Linked DNA regions of Drosophila melanogaster. The protein of the gene in region 1 interacts with the protein of each later gene in a pairwise test. Each region holds a gene or a part of one and is shown in the gene's direction. Other genes may lie near its edges.

Region 1 (6,771 bases):
AACCTCATTTGCCTTTTATATTCGTTTTAATTTTTTCATTATCATTGAATCCATTCTGGACATTGTCAAGTCTTACATTTGCGCGATTGTTCCTGAATTTAATTAAAAAAGAATGAATGACAAAAATTATATTTGCGGAATACAACAAATAAAAATGAAACCAGCTCCCCAAATGACAATTGAATGAAAACAACAACAATCAACAATCGAAAACAACAACAATGCAGGAACGAACAATAAAACGCGAGTCTTTCTCTTTCACCGCGGAGAATCGGTGAATTTCGAATGGGTTAAGCGGTGAGGGTGATTTCTGGCGACAGGATAATGGTTAATATTGTATTCGAATAATAGTAATCACGGCACAACTTGACTCATCTCTCACCTGCCATTATGCGATCAAATTAAATTTACATTTATTTAATTTTCAACTGCACTCTGATACTGTATTTATACTGATAGATTTTTATCAGATAAATATCTGATAAATAAAATGTTTTTCAGTTTGCACGGCACCATAACAAAGAAAGAAAATCTATTATTAGCTTAAGTAATTATTAAATTAGACAGAAAACATATTTAGAGTTTATTTATCCAACTACGAGTATTAGAAGTTTATCATGAATTATTTTACAACTTCCACTAATTTGAACAATATTCTTAAGACAATTTTGATTGTCACTATTCCGCAAAAATGAAATTAAAAATGCATCAGCTAGCTTATTTATTTATTGAATTTGATAGCAAAACACATAAAGAGTATATGTGCTAATAATTTAAAACGTTTATCCTTATTTGTTTTACTCTTTACACTTATTTTAACTGGATTCTAAAAGAATATTTATTTATATAAAATAAGGAATTCATCATAAATTGTATCACAAATGTAACAATTATTTATGCCGCATGTGGGTGGGGAGCGATTTTAGGAAACAGGATCCTGCATTCATCCTACACTGTGTGCTATTATCACTCACTTAGTGTCCTCGTCTGCTAAGTGAAATGCTGAAAACTCAGAAAGAAAAATGTGACGCGGACAAAACTTTTTCCATTACACAACGTACAACAGTTTTTGCTTTCATTATTATTTGAGATTCGTTGTTGTTGCCGTTCTACGTTGTCCTTTCTTCCTTTTTTGGGGAAAGCAGACACAACGGAAACGTTGCGAACGCTGAAAGCTTTTTATGCTCTTACGCTATGGGCCAGGTATAAGAGCTTTGTAAATGCAATTGGAAATTGCACTAAGCTTTGGTGCATCGTTGTGTGGGTGCGTGCATGAGCAGGAGAAAGGCAAAGAGAAGGGTGGGATAAAAGCTCAAAGGGGAGAATGGTTTTACTTTTGGGGTTATGGAGTTTTAAAAAATATAATAGAATATTGCAACCTTATTCCTGAAAGAAACATTTTTATTAAAACAACGGCTCTTGGGGTCAAGATGTTGTTTAATGAAGCAATGTTAAACTCTTACAATCTTTGCATCACAAAAGCCATAAATTATGTCTTCGTTTCGAAAGAGAGGTAAATATGTGTGTTAACAAGAATTTGAAAACTTATTATTATTATTTGGGAAACTCTTTTAGTTACGAATGAAAAAAACATTAGTTTGCGGTAGATTTAATTGTCAATTATTCGATTGCCCTTGTCCTTTCAATCAACATTAAAAGGTTTGTTTTCTTTTGCTACTGCTTATTTGGTAAACCAAAAAGAAAAGCTGGCTAAAACATCTTTTCTATAATAAAGCACAGAGGACCGTTCTACATGCATCTGGGTGAAGATTTGCCTCACTTCCACTGGCTCCTTTGTGGGCTTCTTTCTATGGCCAAATAAGTAAATAATTGCAGTAATATCCTTTCTGGAGCGGCCAGGAAGAAGTGGCAAAAAGGGAACGGAAAAGAATGGAGAAGAATGGCGAGCGAAATGAAAGAATGCGAGAATGGAGAGCGGGGCAAGAGAATGGAAAGCGTGTTTCCATGTCCTTTTCACAAACTAAAAAGTCCTTTCACACACACACATAGTACTGACTACAGAGTACACATAGAGAACGGTATATAGCAGAACACAGACACCCACAATGGACAAAAATTCACACCAAAGACCCATTGTGATTGGCCCAACAAACACGCACACACATACGCGGGGAGAGAGTTGTGTTCTCTCCCTCTCTCGTTCTAACTGCATAGGAGATGCGGAAGTGCAACGCCGCCGTGCAAACAATAACGGAAATTGTGTGCCCACTGTGCGAAAATCAATGTGCTCCCGCGCTCGCCCTGGCTCTCTTTCTCTCTCTCGCTCCGTACTTTGAGCTCCCCCTGCCCCACAGGATTGGGGTCGCTAAATCGAATAACACGAAGCACAGCCGAACGAGAGCTGCCTGGCTTTTGGCTCTATTGAGCTCCTCTATTGAACACACCCCTCAATGGGCGAACAACTATAACCGATATAAAGGAGCCAATGGAACAAAGCCAGTGGAACAATGGGCCGCAAAACGAAAGAGAGAAGACGCTATGTGTGAGTGAGAGCGCGACGACGGCGCAGCTCTCTCCCAGGTAAGAAGCCCAGCCTCTATCCCGCTCGCACCCACGTGGCTTACGTAAAGGTAATGGTGCGAGGGTTGCTCGCACTTCGTGCTCAACTCTCTTCCGAGAGAAACGGGATTTGGCTGCAGTCGTGTAGGCCGCACTGGAACACTACTGAAATCAGTCACAAAAAAGCAGTCGATCCGAGCAGAAGCAAAGCAAGAGCAAAGCAGAAGCAAAAGCAAGACAGTAATTGACATAGAGACAAAGAAAAAATCTGAGAAATCACAGTTGAACCACAGACATATTGTGTTCTAGAAAGTGAAGTGTTGATCTTGAAAGAAGCAAAAGTTAAACAAAGTGTTCAAAATAGCTGGAATGGCCACCTTATCGACACACCCCAATTACGGTTTCCATTTGGGTCAGGCCCAAGGCTTGGAGGACTACGCACCGCAAAGTCAGCTCCAGCTGAGTCCCGGCATGGACATGGATATCAAGCGTGTGCTGCACTACTCCCAAAGCCTGGCAGCCATGGGCGGATCGCCCAATGGACCCGCCGGCCAGGGTGTGAACGGATCCTCGGGCATGGGTCACCACATGTCCAGTCACATGACCCCGCACCACATGCACCAGGCGGTCTCCGCCCAACAGACCTTGTCGCCCAACAGTTCCATCGGATCCGCCGGCAGTCTGGGTAGCCAGAGCAGCCTGGGCAGCAATGGCAGTGGTCTCAACTCCAGTTCGGGTCACCAGTCCGCCGGCATGCACAGTTTGGCCACATCGCCGGGACAAGAGGGTCACATCAAGCGTCCAATGAACGCGTTCATGGTCTGGTCCCGCCTGCAGCGTCGTCAGATCGCCAAGGATAACCCCAAGATGCACAACTCTGAGATCTCCAAGCGCCTGGGTGCCGAGTGGAAGTTGCTGGCCGAGTCGGAGAAACGACCATTCATCGATGAGGCCAAGCGCTTGAGGGCCCTGCACATGAAGGAGCACCCGGACTACAAGTACCGGCCACGCCGCAAGCCCAAGAACCCACTGACCGCTGGACCCCAGGGTGGACTGCAGATGCAGGCCGGCGGCATGGGTCAACAGAAGTTGGGAGCTGGACCGGGAGCTGGAGCCGGAGGCTACAATCCATTCCATCAACTACCGCCATACTTTGCACCCTCACACCATCTGGATCAGGGTTATCCAGTGCCGTACTTCGGTGGATTTGACCCACTGGCTCTATCGAAATTGCATCAATCCCAGGCAGCGGCGGCGGCGGCGGTCAACAATCAGGGTCAGCAGCAAGGACAAGCCCCGCCCCAATTGCCGCCCACCTCGCTGAGCAGCTTCTACTCGGGCATTTATTCCGGCATCTCGGCACCTTCGCTGTACGCCGCACACTCCGCCAATGCCGCCGGACTCTACCCATCCTCGTCCACCTCCTCGCCGGGATCTTCGCCCGGAACCATCACGCCAAATGGTATGGATGGTTCCATGGACAGTGCCCTGAGGCGACCGGTTCCGGTGCTCTATTAGAGTCGAGTTTTAGGTTAGAGTACAGAGTAGAGTACAATTGTTGACGCATTCCCAAAGTGATCCACTGGTTTTAAATCTTCAAAAGCTCTAAGTAAGCCAATCCTCCAAACCACTCCGCTTAATTCTAGTACAATCTTCGCGCACTTCAGATCTAGAGAGTAAGGAGGGAACACACAAAACATTCCTAGCCAATACACAAACTATAAATTATAATTTATTTAGCGCACTCACTATACCGCAAAGAAAATTAAAAAAGATAAACCTAATTGTAAATTAATTTTATTTAGTTTTAAGCATCGAGCGAGCGCCTCCTTCTTGTTGTTTTTTTTCGCATCAGCACCTACCTAAAATGTAGCTTATAGTTTTAATTGTCTAACCCTCTCAAATTGTAAATATCCCTGCAACTATTCGTTAAAGTCTCAGTGTAGCCCCAAATGCGAGGAAAGAACGTACATCAATGTATTATTGTATTATTAATTGTATTGTAAAAGTTATCATCTAAGCGAATAATGGTTCATGAAGGCCAACACAAAACAAAGACATTTAAAAGTGAATAAAAACAAAATGATTTGAGAAAACCAAATTTGAAAACCTGTTTATTCTATTTCAAATAATTTACAGCTTGGAAGATGTGAAACTGGCAATTGGTTTTGAAATGAATGATGATGATTCTCTACCAAATGTAATCACATTAAAGACATAGGTAGAGTTGTTGTGACTGGAATCAGACGAAGTTATCATATATATATATATACCGGGAAAAAGCTGAAAAACAAAAAAGATAATTTTAAGCCTTTAATAGAATGCATTTCCCATTTTCTTAGCCAGCATACCACATTTTACAGTTATGTTATAAATTTACTTTAAACATATGCCCAAGCTATATGTGACTTAAATTTTTCAGCTGATTATATTTTATACTCCATAATTGGATTATCATATTTAAATTCGAATTTGTGTCTGTATTTTTCATAACCTTTAAGATTATACAGGGTCGTGCTCTGAGCATGCATCAAAATTATCAACGAAATTAATAACGAATTTGAATATTCATAAGACCATTAACATAATATTCTCAACTGGATTGAGTGAGTCATTCGGATAAAGCTTAAAAACAATCATTTCATCATCACCTAATAATGGGTATGAATTTTTCTGTTTTGTGAGTAGTATTCGTTTAATATCAAAGTCCTATCCCGTTTCTGATCAAATTAACCTTGTCTCTGGGTGTCTTTACTATTATTTCGCTCATTTCTGTGTGAGTTTTTGTTGGTTAGTTTACACCCGCTGGGAAGAGATGAAAAAACTAAATTTGATTTGCCATTATACAACTATTTGCCGTTGTGTATTAATTTCTATTGATTAATGCGCTGTTTATTTTGCGCCTCCAAGACAGAATTCGATAGTTTGAACAAAAGGTCGTCTCTTCGCTCTTTGGATGGGGGTCACATTGTGTTTTTTTTTCGGGATCAACGGGGGGCCTGGGCCCTCTAAGACCTCACTATTCGGAGTGTAACTGAATACCCTGGCGAAAGAAATCAACGCGTGTTTTTCCGTTTTGATTTTTAGCTTCTTTTCGTAATAATAATAAGAATAATTGCGGTCATTAATAAATCCACTTGCATTGTCTTCCCCCGAACTCTGACTCTTCGATTGCCGTTTTCAAGTCTTTGGGAGTCTATTCAATGCCCTCTGCCCCGCTCCCCTTCGTTTTCCACGTTGTATGTCAAATGTGTTAAAATATCAAATATTGATTATTGTTGTTATTATGCGTATTGTTGATATTGGTCTTTTTTCCATGCCTTGTTTCTCCATTCTCCGTTTGCTCTGCAAACAAATATTTACCCAGCATTGACGTGATATTGAATAATTATATAAAAATTGGATTCTTCTGGCTTAGCTCTTTGGAACATTACTTTGTGTGCACAGCGGTAAAGGCTTCCAAAGGGTTCAACAATACATTTGTATTGTAAGGAAAGAGGTTTTTATAGTATTTTGATTGGATAACTATTTTTCAAATCTAGAAACTATTACAGATTTTGTAAATAATAAATATCAATTAAAAGAACGGCATCCGCATTTTAAAAATTGCATTTTAATTTGACATCCTTTAGATAATAGCGGCTCAAGAATTCGCGCTGCTGAAGTAACATATTGTATTTTATTATTCTACTTTATTACATTATATTTCGTAACTACTTTGAATCTTACAAGTTAAATTTTATGCCATTTTTCGCATCATAACATTCTGATCATAAAACTAGTTACAACCATAATCAGCCATTAAAACAATCTATGATCAAATATCGGATGTTGCCTTTGCCGAACCCAAACGGAAGTGATTAACTTTCGCTAAACGCCCAATCCATCCATCCGACTAAGCCAAGCTTAAAACATAAGCCCGCTCACGCCTTCCTGATCCATAGTTTAAACATTTCATCCAAAAAAAATGATGCACGAATAATTGAAATTCCATTTCAACTCGTTGGGTTTTTAAGGATTGTCGAGAACGTTTTACGACCCATCTCGCCTACGCCTCCTACTCCCAAAAGCCACGCCTTTCGTCCCATTTGGTCACGTCTGTATACAAATATAATTTGCAGCCTCCCGGTTGCTTCGATTTTTTTACGACTTTATGACCGGGGATTAGCGTCCGGTCCGCAGAAAGGAGTGTGCGAAATGTCGCGAGATTTTTATGCTTCTAGCGCTGTCTGTTTGGGTTGTTGTTGCTCT
Region 2 (5,149 bases), 870 kb from region 1:
ATAGTTTTGTAAAATTTTTTTCACGTTTATTCTAATGTAAGTCCGGAAGATTTCCTAAAAAACTTATCCCACTTTACCTAATACCCAAAAAAGGGTTTATTTTGCCATTTAACTGGGGAATATAAGAGCATCGTGATGTTTTTCTGATATCTAAACGTGTTTATATTTTTTAAATACATCGATATTATTTCTCACAATACCATCATTACCGTATAATTTAATTGCACAAAACCCATCCTATATCGAGTAACCCCAAGCATTTCCCGAGGCCTATTGACTCAGTAACACGCAGAGAAGCCAGACTCAACCTCAAAGCTCATTCGTAAATTATTCAGGGGTAAATAATAATTTTTCTGAGCGAATGCATGGGGCTATATAAAAATGCATGGTCTATAATGAAGTCATATTTGTTAAATCAACAAATATACAAAACAAGAAAGTGGATAAACAAACCCTTGGCTAAGTAGCAACAATGGCAACTAGAACAATCAGTCAAAATGCAAATGTCACAACCAATTAATGTCAATAAATGATTAACCCAATCCGCATTTATAAGGGTTTCGAATACCCACTATGGTGGTGGTTCAGTTTTCAGAATTTTTTTTGAAACACCCCTTTAATGGGCAAATCCGGTTTGATGTTCTCCCCGACTCTGTTAGTTTTGCGTTGTATCCATATCAAAAAATAAGGGGAAGTAAACATTTCGTTATGCTTTCATTTGTTCAGCGTTTAGGCGACTTTTGTTCACAATTAAAATGAAATTGTTCGCTTGAACGAAGCCGATGCTATCTTGGAGATAAGAAAATTTGAATATTTCCAAATCCGAAACATTTGTATTCTTTATAAGCCATAGACGAAGTCTAAGTCAATAGCACGATCCAATTGTGAATAAAAAGGAAACCCGAATCAATCGAGCGTGCAATAATCGCAGACAAAAAACGGAAGTGGCCAATGGAGAAAATCTCAAGTGGCCCAAACAATTGTTAAAAGGCGGTCAAAAGGAGCTCTCGCACGAGACCAACGCAACGCCCAAAGAGCAGAAATTCCAACAAAAATATTAACACAACAGCATCTGCTCCCGATTTCGCTATTGACCAGTGTCCAGATTCCTTTTTGTTTTTTTTTGCACAGCCCGCCAATTAAGCAGAAGCCAAATACTTAAAAACCTTAAAAAGTGGGCGAACATTCGGATCGCCTACGTAGAAGTCGGTCGACAATTAACAATTAACGTCAGCAATTGTGATCGGTTTTATAGCCACTTAACATACGATCAACTGGCAGAAGGGCGACAATGCCGCACCTCGGCACAATGCCATGAAAAGGACAATTATAGGTAAATCCCTAAAGTCAGTTAACAAATGATAAAACTGCCGCCATAATTCTGTGTAATGTAGCCCAAGAACAACATTTCGGCGACGTACTGTCTGGCTTAAATGTCCCGACCTGGCCCAAAATACACACAAACAAAGGCGCAACGTGCGTCGTGTCTTGGATTTGTCAAAGGACCAAACGACTGCATCCATGAATGGGATCGTCCTGAATGGATGATCCTTGCCGCATTGTTCGCCGTAGTTGCACAAGCAGAAGAATGCATCAATAAAATTACGCCAAGGCGAGGACTAGGACTCAAAGAAGAGATACATATACATATACCCAATGTGCTGGAGGGTCTGGTAAACGGGAGTTGTAGAAGTAAAGGTTCGATTCGAGATTTCGGCAGCCACCACTTCGGGCCATAAGTTGCCATGAAATTGGCATTAAACGGTTGGAGGGCTTGCAGTTTTCAATGGTTGTAAAATTAATCGATTCGATTGTGAAGGGTCACTGAAGAGGTTTTCTTGTAATGCAATAAATTACAAACAAGATACTGTGTAAATTTCGTTGGCTATTTAAAAGATCTTCCTATAAAAAGAATTACAATTGCGCTTGCTTGTAAGTAAAAACAGATGGTTATAATATTAATAATTTTTGCAAGAATGCTATGGATGCTATTTGTCTTTTTCTACACAACAAACACTTTAATATAATTTGATTTGTTTACCATAAAAATATAAATAATTCGTTAAAACCTAACAATGATGAAAAAAAGCCAATATGTAAAAGCCTGAAAATGAACGAACTGCTTATAAATACAATATCTGCTCATATGATAATATTGCTTATAATGACTTTTTTGATGCTTCTTCATAACTTAAAGTTTTATGAAGTTGCATTTGTTTATTTTTCAAACATAAGTTACTAGGCAAATTAAAAAAAAATATATATGCAAGCAATATATATGGATTTTCTAATAAAACTATTAATTAAAATTTGTATTTTTAATTAAATACATTTTTAACACTGTCTATAAAATAAGCTGCTTGATGATTTTATTGAAAGTTCGAAATACCAATAATGTAATTTGATCTAGCTTAGGCTGAACTAATTCAGTTCCGTTTAAAAAGCTTTTACGCACTCTCTTCAACTTTCAATTAAACTCGAGTGATAATACGAATTGGAAAGACTGATTCGTTCCACAGGGACACCAATACAGTCCCATCGCACACACCCAAGCCCACACACACACACATACATATGTATGGCAGGATGGCAAAGGAGGGTTCGCCATTGTCCTTTCGCACAGATACAGTGAATCATCGCTTACCTGCCATTTGCGGCATTGTGAGTGATCGAACAAGGGCGGAGCGTAAATGGCAACAGTTGTTGCTAAATGGTGACTAAATGGCCGAACACACTCGCTCAAACAACCCTCGAATTGGCCCTCAGGGGTGTGGAAGTGGCAAACCAACCCCCAGAACAGAGTCTCGAGGTATATAAGAACCGGGTGAGGGCGCAGCAGCCAGACAGTTTCGCACAGTCAGCGATCGTGTTCAGTAGCTCATCTCGAGATCAGTTGGAAAACGAAATACCCCAGAAACCCAAGATGTCGCGTTCATTTTTGATGGATTCCCTACTCAGCGATAGGCCCAATTTGAGCCAGAAGAAGGAGAAACTGGGATCGCCAGGAGGAAGTCCTACAGCCGCTGCTGCAGTGGCCGCAGCTGCCATGTTACCATCGATACCCATGCTTCCTTACCCGGCCAGCTATGTGGGCAGCTATCTCTTCTCCTTGGGCATCCAGCAGCAGCAGCAACAACAGCAGCAGCAGCAACAGCACGCAGCAGCTGCAGCAGCGGCCGCAGCAGCAGCAGCTGCCTTGCAGCAACATCCACATGTCAGTTCGAGTCCCGGTTCCCTTTACCATCCATACGCCCAGCTGTTCGCCAGCAAGAGGAAGTCCAGTGGATTCAGCAACTACGAAGGATGTTATCCATCGCCACCGCTCTCGGCCAATCCCAACTCCCAGCAATTGCCGCCAATACACAACCTCTACGGATCTCCAGTTGTGGGCGGATTACCCTTACCGGAACCTGGAAGCTTCTGCACATCACCGTCCGCTTCATCGTCCGCCTCTTTGGATTATACCAATAACTTTGATGAACCTCAAGGAAAGCGTTTCAAGCACGAGTCCTCCTGCTCTCCGAATAGCTCACCACTGAAGAACCACTCTTCGGGAGGTCCCGTCGAGATCACGCCGCTGATCAACGATTATGCCGATTCCAGCAAAAGGATCCGCACTGCCTTCACCAGCACCCAGTTGCTGGAGCTCGAGCGAGAATTCTCGCACAACGCCTACCTATCCCGCCTACGTCGCATCGAAATCGCCAATAGATTGCGCCTTTCCGAGAAGCAGGTGAAGATCTGGTTCCAGAATCGCCGAGTCAAGCAGAAAAAGGGCGGCTCCGAAAGTCCCACCTTCAATCTGTCCACCAACTCCAATGGAAGTCCGCAAGCATCTCCAGTGTCTCCCCAAGTCAAAGTCCACGAATTGAAGGTTGAGGCGTAGAATCAATCACCTATTAAACCATAAGAATAATGTAATTGTACAGTAGATTTTAGTCTGTTTTCAGTCATAAGTATGTTAAAGTAAATAAATTTTAATCAAAATGAAAAACGACGTTTTTGGGATAGATAAACCATAATAGAAAGCAATGATTTATTTATGCAAAGTGGGTTCACATCTAGCAGCTAAGTTGGCCCAAGATGGCTTTACTAAAAAATACTAAATAATTTTAAATTACGAACCAATTAAATGAATATAATAAATATATAGCAGCCCTGGAATATCCCTAAAAATACCAAACGCTAGTGTCGATATTTCGTTCCAAATTTGTGCTGTCAATCAAAACGAACAAAATTTTCATTCCCAAAAATTTAGTCGTTGTCGAGACTTTGCTGTAATCATGTCGAATCTGTACACCGAATTGAAGAACGAGTGGAGCAAACATGCGCCCAACCTCACCCACTGCTCCCGCCTCCTGGATGGCTTCAAACTGGAGCTGGTGAGGTCAAACTTTGGAACAATCCAAACTGCATCGAGTTCCAAGCAAAAGGATCAGCTAATCAAATCGCGGGAGATGCTGGAAATCGCCGTGGAACATAGCATCACCATCAAGGATTATGCTGCCTTCGAGAGATATATGGCCCAGTTAAATACCTACTACTATGATTACGATAAGTACTTGGAATCATCGAAGCACATGTACAAGTTCATGGGCCTAAATCTGCTCTATATGTTGGCTACCAATCGCCTTGCCGACTTCCACATCGAACTGGAACGTTTGCCGACGGCTTTGCTGCTCCATGATAGCTTCATCCAACCCGTTTTGGCTTTGGAGAACTACTACATGGAGGGCAGATACAACAAGATACTGCAAGCCAAGAAATCTATGCCCTCGGAGATCTATTCGAATTTTATGGACATCCTGGTGAACACGGCGCGTGAGGAGATCGCATCCTGCATGGAGAAATCCTATCTGAAGATGGCGCCCAAACTAGCTGCTCAGCGTTTAGGCCTTCGTCCCGGTTCCAAGGAGCTTTTCGAGCTGGCCACTAAGCGCCAGTGGTGTCTGGACGAGGAGGGGAACTACGACTATGCTGGACTTCATACCAGACCTATGGAGAAGGTTCCTGCCAAGGACATCGCCACGCATAATCTCACCTATGCCCAAGAGCTAGAGAAAATAGTTTGAATTTTCTCATTAGATCAATTCTTGCTTCTAATCCCCTCAACCGGAAAATAATATCCAGAATTTATACATTCGTCCAA
Region 3 (6,609 bases), on another chromosome or scaffold:
TTATGTTTTTAGTTGTAAGCGCACTTAGCTTCAGACATTATGCCAATTTTCAGTGCAACTTGATACTGTATTGAAACTGGCTTAGAGTGGCAACAGCGAAACAAAGGAAAGAAAAGAAACAGACAAATGTTAAGCAAGAATAATGCGTTACACGAAACTGCACTAAGCTCAACATTTTGGGTTTTACACTCCTCAGGGTTTTTTTTTTCTTATTTATCTATCTTTTATGCGCCTCCTTGCAGCGCGAATCAAATGAAAGGCAGTGACAAAAGGATGTTTTTTTTTTGGAGGAGCAAACTTTGAACTCCACTCGCTCTGTGCCCGTCAAGGAGGCCAGAATCCCTTTTTTGGCCTAGACAAATTACACCCGAGCTCACCAGCGGACTCATCAGTCAGAGTCGAGAAACAGTGAAAATCTCTTTGGGTTCCGGGAACACATGGCAGCCTAGGAGCAAGCGGAGCGTGGAGTAGTGGGAGGCGACAAAAAATGGACTCCATCATGTACATGAATGCCCATGCTAATTAGGACTGTCCTGGGGGGACGGCCAACTGGACCTGGGCCAATTAAATGCTTAAGCTGACTTTCGGGTTCGAGCTTGTCATAAATTTTGACTGATTATGCGTATTCGTCTTTGTCGTAGCCCCTTCTCTGGCTCCTTCCAACGCCGCCCCAAGTGTCCCATCTCTTTCCACTCATCTCATCCTTCGGCTACAAGTACCCGTGACAACTGAAGAATTTTCTGCGGCATCCGAACCCCACCTCCCAAGTGTCCGACGCAATTCATCATTCAATTAAATTGACCGCAAAGAGCAGCATTTCACATCGCTCAGTTCGTCGACATCGCCTTGGGTTAAGTTTTTAAAGTTGCCCAAAGTCGAATCCTTTAATGCCTTGCCAGCATTTTTGCTGCAATCGATTATCCTTTCAATAAAATGCCGCGGAGGCGAGAAAAAAAAACTTTTACCCCCTCGAAATTTAACGCTTTCGCCCGCCGCATCCCCCTGACCCGAAAAATTGGGGATATCTTTTGAGGTTGATTTATGCGCTGGCTTAAAAGCGAATTGTTGTGAGCTGCTAACTGGAAATCTGTTTGACTGCACGTACTTGTTCTGGTTCTCCACACATAGCCCTCCACACTGAAATCTCCATCATCGACTTTCCGGGCTTAAACGATTGCCAAACAAAGTCAAAAGAGAACGTCGTGCATGCCGAAGGATTCGGAATCCTTTGCATTTGAGCTGCGCTTTTTTTTTCCGCCATGCTTCTTGGTATGCCGGTCCCGGCAACTCAAGGATTTCGCAGCTGTCCTGGTCACAGTCACTATCTGCTGCCCGGATTTGGCCAAAGTGATTTACGACATGCTCATGCCAGGCATTCAAAATGCGGTCTAATTGAGACTCCTTAGATGATTAATCCTTGGCTAATATGGCGAAATTCAACAAGTCTACGCCGCACATTTCCCATAAATTTATTTTTCTTTTTGCTGCCGATAACGCCTTTGATTAATTAACACACTCGAAGTTTTTTTATGTACCTCATGTGAGAAAAGGAAAAAAAATGAAAAGTGATGCATATGCTCTAATAAGTGAGCCCAACAACGAATTGAGATGTTATCACGATTTATTCGGCTTGTTTACTTTATAATACACTAACAGAAAAATTTCTGTTCGATGTTTTCGACATTTGTGTGGGATTGTTATAAGTATTTCACACGTTAGTATGCAAGTTTGTGAAATACAAGACTTAATAGGTTGTGTACAATTATCAATCTAAATTTATTACGCCACTTATTAAATTTTTTAAATTATTTTAGAACGTTTGTCACCCCGCACAAGTGTGAACCTTGAATTATGCTCATTGCAAAACAAACTACAACTGCTGCGATTTTTTGCATTCTTCTTGTGGTTTTAATTGCTACCTAGAGTTTTTAATTAACGCCCCCGATTTAGCTGTATGTATTTGTCGGAGGGAGAAGGCCAACATAATTTGCAGACTTTTGAGGGGCGGTGGGAGGACTTTGAACTGGGCGCAGGAAGTGGGGTGGAAATCCTTTGAATTGCGGTTGCCATGACAAACTCTTATTTCGCCCGGCATTCCGTTGTCTGGCTAATTCAACGTTTGTGCAGCATGCAAAATATTATAAAATTCCGCCAAATGTCGGAGGTACTTCCCCTCCAGCAAAAAGACGGGCAAAAAAAAAAAACGGAAACAAAAACTAATAAACGACAACAGGTGAGGCTGAAAGCTGACACGTGGCATCAACAACGCTGAGTAAGAATTCAAGGCGCATTTTTGGGAGGAGTGGACTTTCAGCAATAACTGTGGCCCAAGCGCCGGTTGCCAACGCGACCAGCTGTGGAGTATAGTTGAAGTTTTTCGAGGGGAATCGAGGTCTGTTTCGGCATCGATGATAGCCCGCCTATCGATAGGCGGCAGGACCTGTTATCGCCGAGGGCGCCAAAAAGTGCTATCGTTCGGGGCCACAAGCTCCCGAGTTCCCTCATTCGTTGGTCTGCATTGAGGGCGTGGTCTGGCCTACGCACAGCGAGTATAGCCGACCCGCTCTAGCAACCACTTGGCAGGGCAAGCGCGAACGAGTCAGCATGCTTGGCTCGACGGCAAGATGGCTGTGGGCTCAGCTAGCTGTCTCCTTTCCTCGCCCGCCCGGGGCACTGGCACGGTGTGTGCTCTTTGCGATTTTTGCAAATCAATGCGAGAGATAAGCCCGCTGGCAGAGATAACGCTTGACTTAACCGTCAATTGTGCGAGGGGGTGGCGATTGAATGCGGCGCCAGTGCGCAGTCGTTGTTGTCGAAGTTATCAGGTTTCGTAGTCAATTCGCTTTGATTTTTTCGCACTGCCCTCAAATGCAAGCGAGCAGCGCTACGTATACGGCGTACAGCTCCCATACGATACAATAGTGCGATCCGAAACAATTCGATCCGTTTCCGTTTGCTAGTGCCTAGAAAGCCGTCGCACTGGCAGAGACCATTAACCGAATTGATCTAACTGGGAAGTGCCAAGGAATAACTAAGTGAAAATGTGCCCGAAGTGTAAAAATGCTATCAATTAAACAGTAGAAAACAAGGACGAGTGACCACACCCGAAGGTGGAAGCAAGCCGTGTCCTCCGCCGGACAGTGTCCGGCTGTCAGTTGGTCAAACAGTTCATCAATAAACGATTCGACTTCCGTTTCATTGCGTGTCCCTAAGCTGTGCATGTCTGCGTGTCTGTGAGTGCGATTGTGTGTGTGTGCCAGCTGTGCGCGTGTGTGTGTGTGTGTGTGGGAGCTAAGGAAACTTTTCAACTTCCGGCCAAGTGACTTGGATTTAATTTCTTTGGCTTTTTTATGGTCAAGGCATTTAATTAATTTTACTATGGCAATTTGATCGTCTGCTGGCCTGAACTCTGACCCCAGCCCATAACCCTGTGGCATACACAAAAAGCAAGGAGGCGGAAAAAGGACGAGCGATAGGAGGAGCCAGGTGAGTCCTTGGCCAAATGAGCAATAAAACTCAATGCAAATGCCCACACAATCGAACTTCGGCAGAAGTTTCTGCGGTTAAGGAAAGTGAAACGGATTTAGTTTTCTGGTTAGTCGCACAATAGTTAAATTACCCAAATAGCTGGACATTTGACAGGGGTCAAAGTTCAAGAGAGGGCTGGGCCAAATATTCACAACACACGAGCAATTAGTATACTTAAATGTTTTGCCAAGACAAAAATCAAACATTCATTTATGATTCCAGAAATCTTGATACATTGTAAGCAGTTTTATTGCATATGATTGTATACTATAAACATAAACAAAAACTTTGCTAAACAAGTTAATGACCATTTTCTCTTGTCAATTTAAAAACTTTTAGTATTGAAAATTAACAAGTACTTCCAAAAAAGCACAAAGTCACCTATGTATGTTTATATTTGCGTTGAGCAGAAGCCACCCATCCAAAAATAACAAATCTGTTTACTTGCAGCCACACCCATTTCCACCGAACAATTGAGATGTAATTTGCACCGCAGGTGAACTTCAACTCCAACGTTCTGTGATAGACGAGTATACGAGCAGGAACTCCCATTGGGATTCCGCCACCACCAGTCGATATCGATTCCCGATTCAATCAAATTGGATCCCGAATCCTAACTTTCGGAGCAGCAATCAGAAACAGCGACAAACTGTCGACTCTGTCGATCCGCAATTTCTCGGCAAACATGCTGAACAATCTTGGGGCCAATGTGCTGGGTAAGTTACGCCCCCAATCCTCGATAGCGTTTTAAGTGCGGGCTGCGGGCGGGAGCTGCGTATAATGTTGCAATTAAGATCGCCAAGTGAATTGCGCTAATGTATAATAATGTGTGTATTAATCCATGGCATACGATCCGCCTGGCCATAATTAAACTAATTTCTTGAGCACACCCACAAAAGATCGGAGGGGTAGTTAGTCGTACTTCCGATCTGGCGATTGCCATCGCATCTCCCATGTCTGCTAAATGGCCTATAATTGAGACGTCTAACCAGATGGCGCCAGGTGTCGCGTGCATTTAGCAATAATTAAGTTGTGTATTTAACTAACTCGGCAAACCTTCTCCGATTCCCATTCCCATATGCCTATGCCCATTCCGAATCGAGTGTGGGTGGGTGTGTTTGTGTTAATTGATATAATTGCTCTTTTAAATATGCCGCAAATTGTGAATTACATTCACACATTCACCCGGCGCACGCACATAATTATCAAACTGTACTTGTGTCCTCATATTAATATATTAATAATTCCGAATACACATATGTACATATGTATGTGCGTGTGTGCAGGTGAATAAATTATTTTTACCACACTGTTGATCAACGATTCAAGCACTTTCAATTTTGGCAATCAATTTGTTGTTAGCCGTCCAACACTACCAGAAAATACAGTTTGCAAGTGCATTTGCAACTGCAACTGCAGCAGCCATGGATGAGTTATGGCTCGCGTTTATATTCAATTTTTATTGCCAGCATCCTTGCGTCCTTCGAAGCGTTGCCATTAATTACTTTTATTAATTTATTGCCATTTTTCACGCGCCAATTGTCGCCGCTCGGTGCACGCGGCGTATGCGTAATGTCCATAGTTGCCATTGAAGATGGGTGTTTAATTAAGGGCTAGCAAGCGAAACTGATCTGACGGTTTGCTATCTGCCATGGATTGCGACTGCCAAAGTTGGCTTTTAAAGTTTTCGCCGGCTTCAACTTTAGCCAGCTCCATTTGCCCACGAAGAACTATAAATTTCAATGAATCGCAGTGCGGAATCCTTTGGACAAATCCTGCCCGCAGTGCTGGAGTCTGCCATAATAAATTTCGTGAGCCTTTTTCCGAGTTTCGCACAACAGAGAGGCCAAAAAACATTTGCATACTGGGTGCGTGGCCGAGAGGGGCAAAAGTGGATGCCCCCCTAACCACCCCTTTACAATTAAGAGCAATTTGCATGCAAAAGAAATGGCAGAACTTTCCCCGGATTCGTATTGTCTCTCCCCTACTAATGCTTAATTTGCATGCAGCGAAAGGAGCTCGAATGGCGTTTCGTTTGGGCGCTTTTTTCGTGAGCCTCGCATTAATTAAATTAATTTCATGATTGCATTTGTAATTTGCACAGACCCCCTTCAGGTTTACCCCCACCCGTCCGTTGCATCCACGAAATATCTGCGCGTGCTTCGCTTTGTGCGTTCGGCATTTTTGCGGTGGCCTAGGCTAGTGAAATATGTGTGCTTAACCCCGCTGAACACCGCTTAACCCCCCACTGCCATATCCGCTTTGCATTGAAATGTTTTGCGGTTGCTGCGGATTCTGTTCCCAGTTGCGGTTAGTTGTTGGAGCAGCCCAGATTCCATGCCATGCCATGCCATGCCATGCCATTCCATTCCATTTCAAACCAAACCGAATCGGAGCGATCTGCATCGTAGTTTGCCAACTCGAGGCCCAAAGGCCAAAGCCTATGTCCTGCTAAAAACCGCACAATTTCCAAATTTCAATAATTATGCACATTGCTGAATGCACATGCAACTGACGGCGAATCTGGATGCAAGTGCTCGGCCATGAAAGTCCGTTTCTGGCCATTCGGCTGGCCATTCCGGCCAGGTCCATATATTTTGCGGGAGAAATCGCGTCGTTCGCTCCCAAAAACAGGCAAACTGATTTGCGCAAATTGTGCAAATTGCTTGCGCGATAAATTCATGTTTGCCAATTTTAATTAATTAATCGCTTTGTGCGGTTTTCATTTCGTTTCGCTCCTCTTTCTCGCCGGACCAACTAAAATGTTCGCTTCGGGCCAGATGTAAATCTACGTATCTGCGTCCTGTGTATCTGTGTTGCCACTGCAATGTTTACAGTTTCGTATTAACACTATCGCAATTTTGGCCAGGTAGCAAATGGAGGACCGAAACTAAATTACGATGATAGATAACAAAATTATGCCCTATTAGTACGCGTCCTAATGATTTGGGAACATGGATAGGTTTTTATGCCAGTTTTGCGGTTAACACGCAGATTTTGGAAAATGTTTGCCAGCTTTCTTATGTTCGATGGGAAAATTAGTAATGGATTTAGGCGTGAATTTAATTTAAATCAAAATTA
Region 4 (6,386 bases), about 14 Mb from region 1:
CACGGCAGCAACTGCCAAAATAAGAGAGGCATCGAAAAACAAACCTGCGTTCACAACAATTTGTAGGTTTAAGCTATAGTCATACATGCACTTTTAAAAACTATCTTTAATTCAAGCATGCTTCAATATTTATAGACTTTGAGGTACTTCTCAATGTTCCCAAATCCCTTCTCTTTTTCACTTGCTAATATTATTCAATTAAGGAATCCAAAATCTCAATTGGTATTGATATATTTCTATTTCTATTTTCTATATATTTCTAACGTTTTTCCGAGTGTAATCCCAAGCCCAACCCTCAGTTAAAGCTGGCCTTTAATATGACGAACACGTACCCCTCAAAACCGTTTGGATCGGTGGATCGGTGGATCAGTGTGGATCGCTCGCCTCGATTTATTTGTTTGTTTTGCTTGGATTTTCGTAATTTCCATTCGTCGCACTTTCAGCGAATCAATCAAACGGATCCGATACGATCCGCCCCAGACCCAGAAGGTCTTTGCCACATTCCCCGATCGGCTGATAAACCTGTCAAGCCAAGGGTATAAATCAATCGATGCATAGTTTCTACTTTAAACTTTACAAGTTAGAATCACTAGAAGTTTCATTAAACTTTCGCCCGAAAAAATCAATACTCATTCCAGGGGATTTCTACCAAGAGTGAGAATTGTAATCCTGACGAAAATGCTCGGCGTATCCTGGCATCCTGGCTCATTCTCTTATGCACATCACGTGCCGCAGGACGACGGCAAGTGTGCTCCACCTCCATCTCCGGCTCAAGTTTTGTGTACTTTTTAGCACATATTCCCGACTTGAAGCCTCTGTCGATATCCTGACAGGTACATGGTCATATATGTACGAGGTCTTATATAAGGCAATTACATGGCAAATTCGTGACTCGCACTTTTTTTTTATGAGTTTTGCACTTTCTTCGCGGTCGGGTCATTAAATCTTACTTCGTGTTGGGTTCAAGTGAAACAAACAAGTACGAAGCAAAATATGTTTATATATATTTATTATAGTTATATTTGTCTGATTGCTATCCATGGTAGATGGATCAAATGTTTCGTGTTCTTTTTTGCAGGTTACGTGATTTTTTGACCATATACAATATTTTCATCTCATTTCAGTTCCCCAACTCAAGACTCTTCTGCAATCATTGTTATCACACCCACCATTAAGCCCAGTATAGGCTGGCACATTCACAACATTCTTAACTGGGATAGCATTTTCATTACAGCCAAAGGTCAGTCGGCTGGGGCAAGGCCTCATTTTATTTTATTCGCCGCCGCAGGCCAAAGTATTATAGAAGCAAAGAAACAAAGCAGCAGCTGAGCAGCACGCTCTAGGCACATTTGCCATGTTTAGAATTAAGACCTCAGATACTTGAGAAGCTCCAAAAGCCCAAATAACCGCAGAAAACGGCAACCGGCGGACGGGCAGAACCAATTCCGAAGGCAGCCAAGGCAGCAGTCTCAGGTCTCGAGTCCCCAGTTCGAATCTCCAGTCTCGGGTCCAACTCATGTTACTCACGTTCCAAACGAGCTTTTGTCAACTTGTCTAAATGATTTTTGCACACTGTAAACAAGCCAAGACACCGAGACAGACAGACGGACGGACTCAACGACAGACGGACGCTCCGTTGGACGGACAGTTGGAACGGCGACAACATTCAGTATTGACGTTGACCCTGCACGACTGCGATTCAGAAGTGGAGGCTCCGTTTGCTTGGGGATGTGAGTGTGTGCCAAGGATTCGCAACCTGAAGTCCAAGTCGTGTGTGATGGGCCAGGAAGGTAGAACTGGGGAGTTGGGAGTGGGGGAGGACTGGAGGCCAAACGGGCAGCAGCATTCCCCGTGGGAGTCTTTTGTTATTGTTGTGCTGATCTCTTGGATTTTTCGTTTCGATATTGTCGTGTAATCACGAATTTATTTTATTGAAAATCACTTGACAGGTGGCGCCTTATTTAACTAAGTTGTCAGCCCTTCCTCTTCTAAGTCCTCCGTTTCCGCCATCTGGGGAAATGACTATGAGAATGAGAATGGAAATAATGCAATGGAAATAATCATAAATGTTTTGTGGGAACAGGTCAGGTTGGTGGAATGGGCAGATATGGCAGACATGTTCATTGTTCCTTATACAACGAAGTTTTATGGTTACAATTTATAGTGGACATCAATTGTAATGCAATTGCTGAACGAAGAACTAGATAGAACGAACTTATGAACGTCTTTACTAAAATTGATGACTTAGATATGTCTGAATTATAAAGTATTTTATTTGGCGCAAGCCATTATTCAATATACTTTCTCAATATTCCTGACCTATCCTTCAAATTCCCATTTCAAATCCTAAATTTTCCTTTATGTGCTTCAGTCGATTCAGAAATGGGCCTCCCCATAATGGGAGCAAATGACTCCCCCAGTAGACCGTCTTATCTCGCCCTCAACAACATCACACACCATCCACAACACAGAACACAATATCACCGCTGGCGTGTTGAGAGTTGCTCCACCGAATTCTCCAGAGAATGCCCCGAGCGAGGAAGAGAACTCAGGTGTTCACGACTCTCTAGAGAGAGGGAGAGACCCCGAGACCGAGGCGGAGGCAAAACAAGAACATGATATATACAACAATATGATGTGTGGATGCTGTATGCTGGAGAGGACCACACCACATTAGTGAGTGGGTCTGTATCTGTGTGGCGGCGACTCTCCCATACGAAAACCTGCTCCACCACCATTTGCAGCTTGCAATGCGCCGCTCCAAGTTTCGCAGATGCAGCGCAGATGAGATGACGATGATGACGATGCTCTTGAGTTCGGACCAACAACATCCAGCCATCCAACCATCCAACCACCTCCAACCAGCCAGCCAACCGACCAACCGACCAAACGACCGAGGCGACCGACCATGTTTCCTGATGCGAGGCGAGGCGATAGTTTATCGCCAATTTTCGTGCCGTGCAGAGGTGAACGCGGACCAAAAACGTGCGAAAGGAAAAGCACTGCCCAGATGCGAGAGAGCCCAGCTCCGGCTCCCTATCGTACCCGTAGTATCTCGCCTCCGTGTAACCCGAATCCGTACACCCAACGGCTAGCGACACCCCTAATTCAAGGTTGACGTTGTGACTTGGTCGTCCTTCCTCGACGTTCAGCCACCGTTCACTTGTTTTTTGTTTGCATCAGCTCTTTTTTGGCTGCCGTCGGTTCTTTTTGGTAGGGACAAGGATGATTTTGAGGGGCTGAGCTAAGCTGAGCCGAGCCACCTCCCGAAAACTCCCCCCTAAAACGGCCATGCGCGTTAACGGTAAATAATGGCCGCCATCTTGGCCCAAACGGAATGTGCAAATATGTCTATATAATCCGCAAGTGTTTGTGTCTCTGTGAGAGTGCGTGTGACCACATCAAATCAAAGATAAATAGCTGAAAAGCTATCGCCGAAAATAAATAGTCTCGCATCAGGGTGGGTCAAGTTCCATAGTAGGACGAATGAGAGATCAATCGCAGGGGCGGAAAGAATTCTATCGGCATAACTTTAATCCAATTGATTTGTTTAAAATTTAATTAAAAAAAAAAAAAAAAAAAAAAAAACTATTAAAAGTCACAAGAATTAACAGAACAGAATTTTGTTCCAATTATCTTATTACATTTTTAGAACGATACTTTATTGGCCAGACCATACTGCCATCATATAGATATATTAATGCAAAGCTTTCTTTCCACACCTACGATTCCGTGTCTATGAAAACCGGACTCACCCTAATAAACCTGCGTGTAGTCATAATATATAGATAGAGAGGAACTCCTAGAAATGGAGCATCACGGCAGTGGGTTCGTGGCTTCGCCATGGGCCGCCGTTCTGGGACACCACTCGATGGCCTCCGATGCCGGGTTCGCCGCTGCGGCTGCTGCGGCGCATGTCCAGAACCACTCGATGCACCATCCTATACACTCGCATCACCACCACCACTCGCACTCGCATCCACACCCACATCCGCACTCGCATCCGCACCACCATCCGCACCTGGGAACCGCCGGAGGGATGCCGATGGATCTGCATGTGCCGCAGGGATTCCCCTACTACAGGTAAATTAAACGAAACCAGAACCACTTCACACTGCACCAATATTTCCCTTCCATTCGCACACTCTATTGGTTTCTCTTTCGCTGGAGTTTGCATGCAAATTTTGGGGGCGTTGCCAATGGCGGAAAAGTGTCCACCTGATATCCAATGGGCTGAGATGCGGAGATGCTGAGACAATTGATGGAACTGCCCACTAACAGGGAGAAATTATTCCACTTCCTTTTTGGGGTGGAAGTTAGGCGATTGCTCGCTCATAACTGAGGTTCTAGGTAAAAAAAAATTGTGACTTAAAGGAACTGACAAGGTACACCTCCTTAATCAGTTTTTATTCGTATGTGAAAATATGTCTCACAATCCTGAAATATCCATTTTTGACCCCAGCATGTCTGACACCTTGTCACCTCATACCCACCACGAAGTGTGCCCCCCCCCCAAAAGTAGCTTTCGCCAAAAAAAAAAATTAAATGTCCGAAAATTAAAATTTTTCAGTTATGAAGTGCAGGCAGAGCACTACAGAGGTGCCAACATCGATGAAACTCATAATTAAACTAATTGAATTTACGTGACAATAACACTTTCGACACTCACTCGCCAGGCCACCGAAAAGCGAGCGATGAACGCCTCACGAAGTCGGGCGATTGTCACGAGATAAGTTGGGCAGCTCCCTCCATCTTTCACTTTTCCCACTCCCAGTACATAAGCCTCCTCCGTAATGCATGGTTATTTTCAATATCGAAAAATGAAATCGGCATCAAAGAACATTTCGCCGCAATAGCCATGAAGCAGAAGTGGCAATCCGGGCTCTGTCTTAAGCCGAGACCTCTTTTAGACATTCCCACAACAATATTGCAATGGCGATGTAATTCATGAACTCTGATTGGTGGCCCCGCCGAAAGAGTCGAGTTTGTAGTTAAGATTGAGGATTGAGGCTCGAGGAGTTCCAGATGCGGGCACAGCAGCTTTGACTACCAGTGTCTGGGGTTTTGGGACTTGGGATGGCTAGAGATGGGCCACAGGGCCTTTTGAATTGATAGTCCGGAGCGAAAGATTTAATAAATATGCTACGTTAGAAGGATATGGAGACATTCGAGAAAACCAGAATAGCTTAAATATTAAAAGTATTGTAGTATAGTATTGTATAGCTGTGCCAAGGGTCGTGAGTCTCGTGACTCACTTTCTTGCCTATCGGTAAGCTGCTCACGCACATCTCTAAGGCACACATAGGCCTTCATGTTCCGAACTTAAGCTTCAACTGGGACTGCAACTTTAACTCCGACTCTGAACTCCCGACTCCGCCACTCCAACTTCTCGGCTCACACAATCAGCGTCTATCAGCATTTTTCAATTATATCGGAATAGCGTTATCCGTGGCTGGATCGCGTCAGAACGCATAATTACTATAATCACCTGAGTTATTACCTTGGCGAATATTGACGAAGACGCGAAGAGAGGGCCGCGAAGTAATATTAAAAGCACAACCAGCGCGGCGGGAAAAGGGTTCCCTGCTGAAATCTAAACTGTGATTGTTTCCCCTCGCCAACCTGCGATGGGCTGCCTCTGATGACTCTGCCTCAATTTCATTTTGGTCTTTTTCCCATTATTTTCATTTTATTTTTCACTTTTTTATTTTTGCTTATGCCTCAATTCGTTAAAGTTACATTACACTGGGAAAAATGGATGGCCACGGGGGAGGGGCCACGATAACTAAAAACGAGTGAGACAAAAAGAGTTTTGACCTAACTGGAAAATTGCTGGGACGTTTGTTTTTCATTACAGCCGACAACTTTGTTGCTTTGTATATTGGAAGGGGAATTTCCAGGGGGAATTTCCAGCGCCTTCACGGGCGGCAAAGGGGGATGAAAAACCCCAATACGGGCCAGGAGCACGAACCGCATTTTCATTGCACAAAGCGATCTCCACACACAATTTTCCATGGTCAGCAAAGAGGATTCGAGCTCTTTGCGGTTTTCGAGGCCAAGTCCCCCTTTCAGCCATCGCCCCTCGATAGCCCCCTCCGTATGGCTAAGACCCCATCCCAGACAACGGTAACACCGCAAAATGTGCAGTGAAAAACCATCATTTCAACAATTTATATTTCGAACGTGATTGGTGGACTTGGATACCCAGATAGCTCCCAGGGAGGGGATTTAGGGGGTACCAGGGTTAGTAGCACTGCAAGACGGCCATTAAGAAATTGCTGTAAAGCATAAAGAGCAAAATGAAACCGAACAAAGAGCCAGGCAACAAAAAAGCAACAAAGCACAGTGCGAGAAAATGAAATAAAATGCAGCAGATTATGATTGCG

The links.
Region 2: the proteins of D (region 1) and ind interact in a two-hybrid assay, tested with the Drosophila melanogaster proteins (one study listed by BioGRID).
Region 3: the proteins of D (region 1) and otp interact in a two-hybrid assay, tested with the Drosophila melanogaster proteins (2 studies listed by BioGRID).
Region 4: the proteins of D (region 1) and trh interact in a two-hybrid assay, tested with the Drosophila melanogaster proteins (one study listed by BioGRID).

The regions. Positions count from the first base shown.
Region 1 is NT_037436.4:14,173,457-14,180,227, reverse strand, and holds D (dichaete), read left to right. Parts: upstream 1-1,607; 5' UTR 1,608-1,659; intron 1,660-1,735; 5' UTR 1,736-2,889; coding exon 2,890-4,038; 3' UTR 4,039-4,618; downstream 4,619-6,771. UniProt on the Drosophila melanogaster protein: Essential for segmentation and CNS development. May modulate the actions of other transcription factors, including gap and pair-rule proteins.
Region 2 is NT_037436.4:15,041,639-15,046,787, reverse strand, and holds ind (intermediate neuroblasts defective), read left to right. Parts: upstream 1-2,863; 5' UTR 2,864-2,923; coding exon 2,924-3,886; 3' UTR 3,887-3,989; downstream 3,990-5,149. Other genes in the region: Rpn12R (regulatory particle non-ATPase 12-related), read left to right, coding at 4,284-5,072.
Region 3 is NT_033778.4:20,899,663-20,906,271, reverse strand, and holds the start of otp (orthopedia), read left to right. Parts: upstream 1-2,857; 5' UTR 2,858-3,486; intron 3,487-3,978; 5' UTR 3,979-4,213; coding exon 4,214-4,244; intron 4,245-6,609. UniProt on the Drosophila melanogaster protein: May be involved in the development of the central nervous system.
Region 4 is NT_037436.4:389,183-395,568, reverse strand, and holds the start of trh (trachealess), read left to right. Parts: upstream 1-2,935; 5' UTR 2,936-3,460; exon of another isoform or gene 3,461-3,563; intron 3,564-3,775; 5' UTR 3,776-3,808; coding exon 3,809-4,083; intron 4,084-6,386. UniProt on the Drosophila melanogaster protein: Transcription factor, master regulator of tracheal cell fates in the embryo, necessary for the development of the salivary gland duct, Malpighian tubules and the posterior spiracles.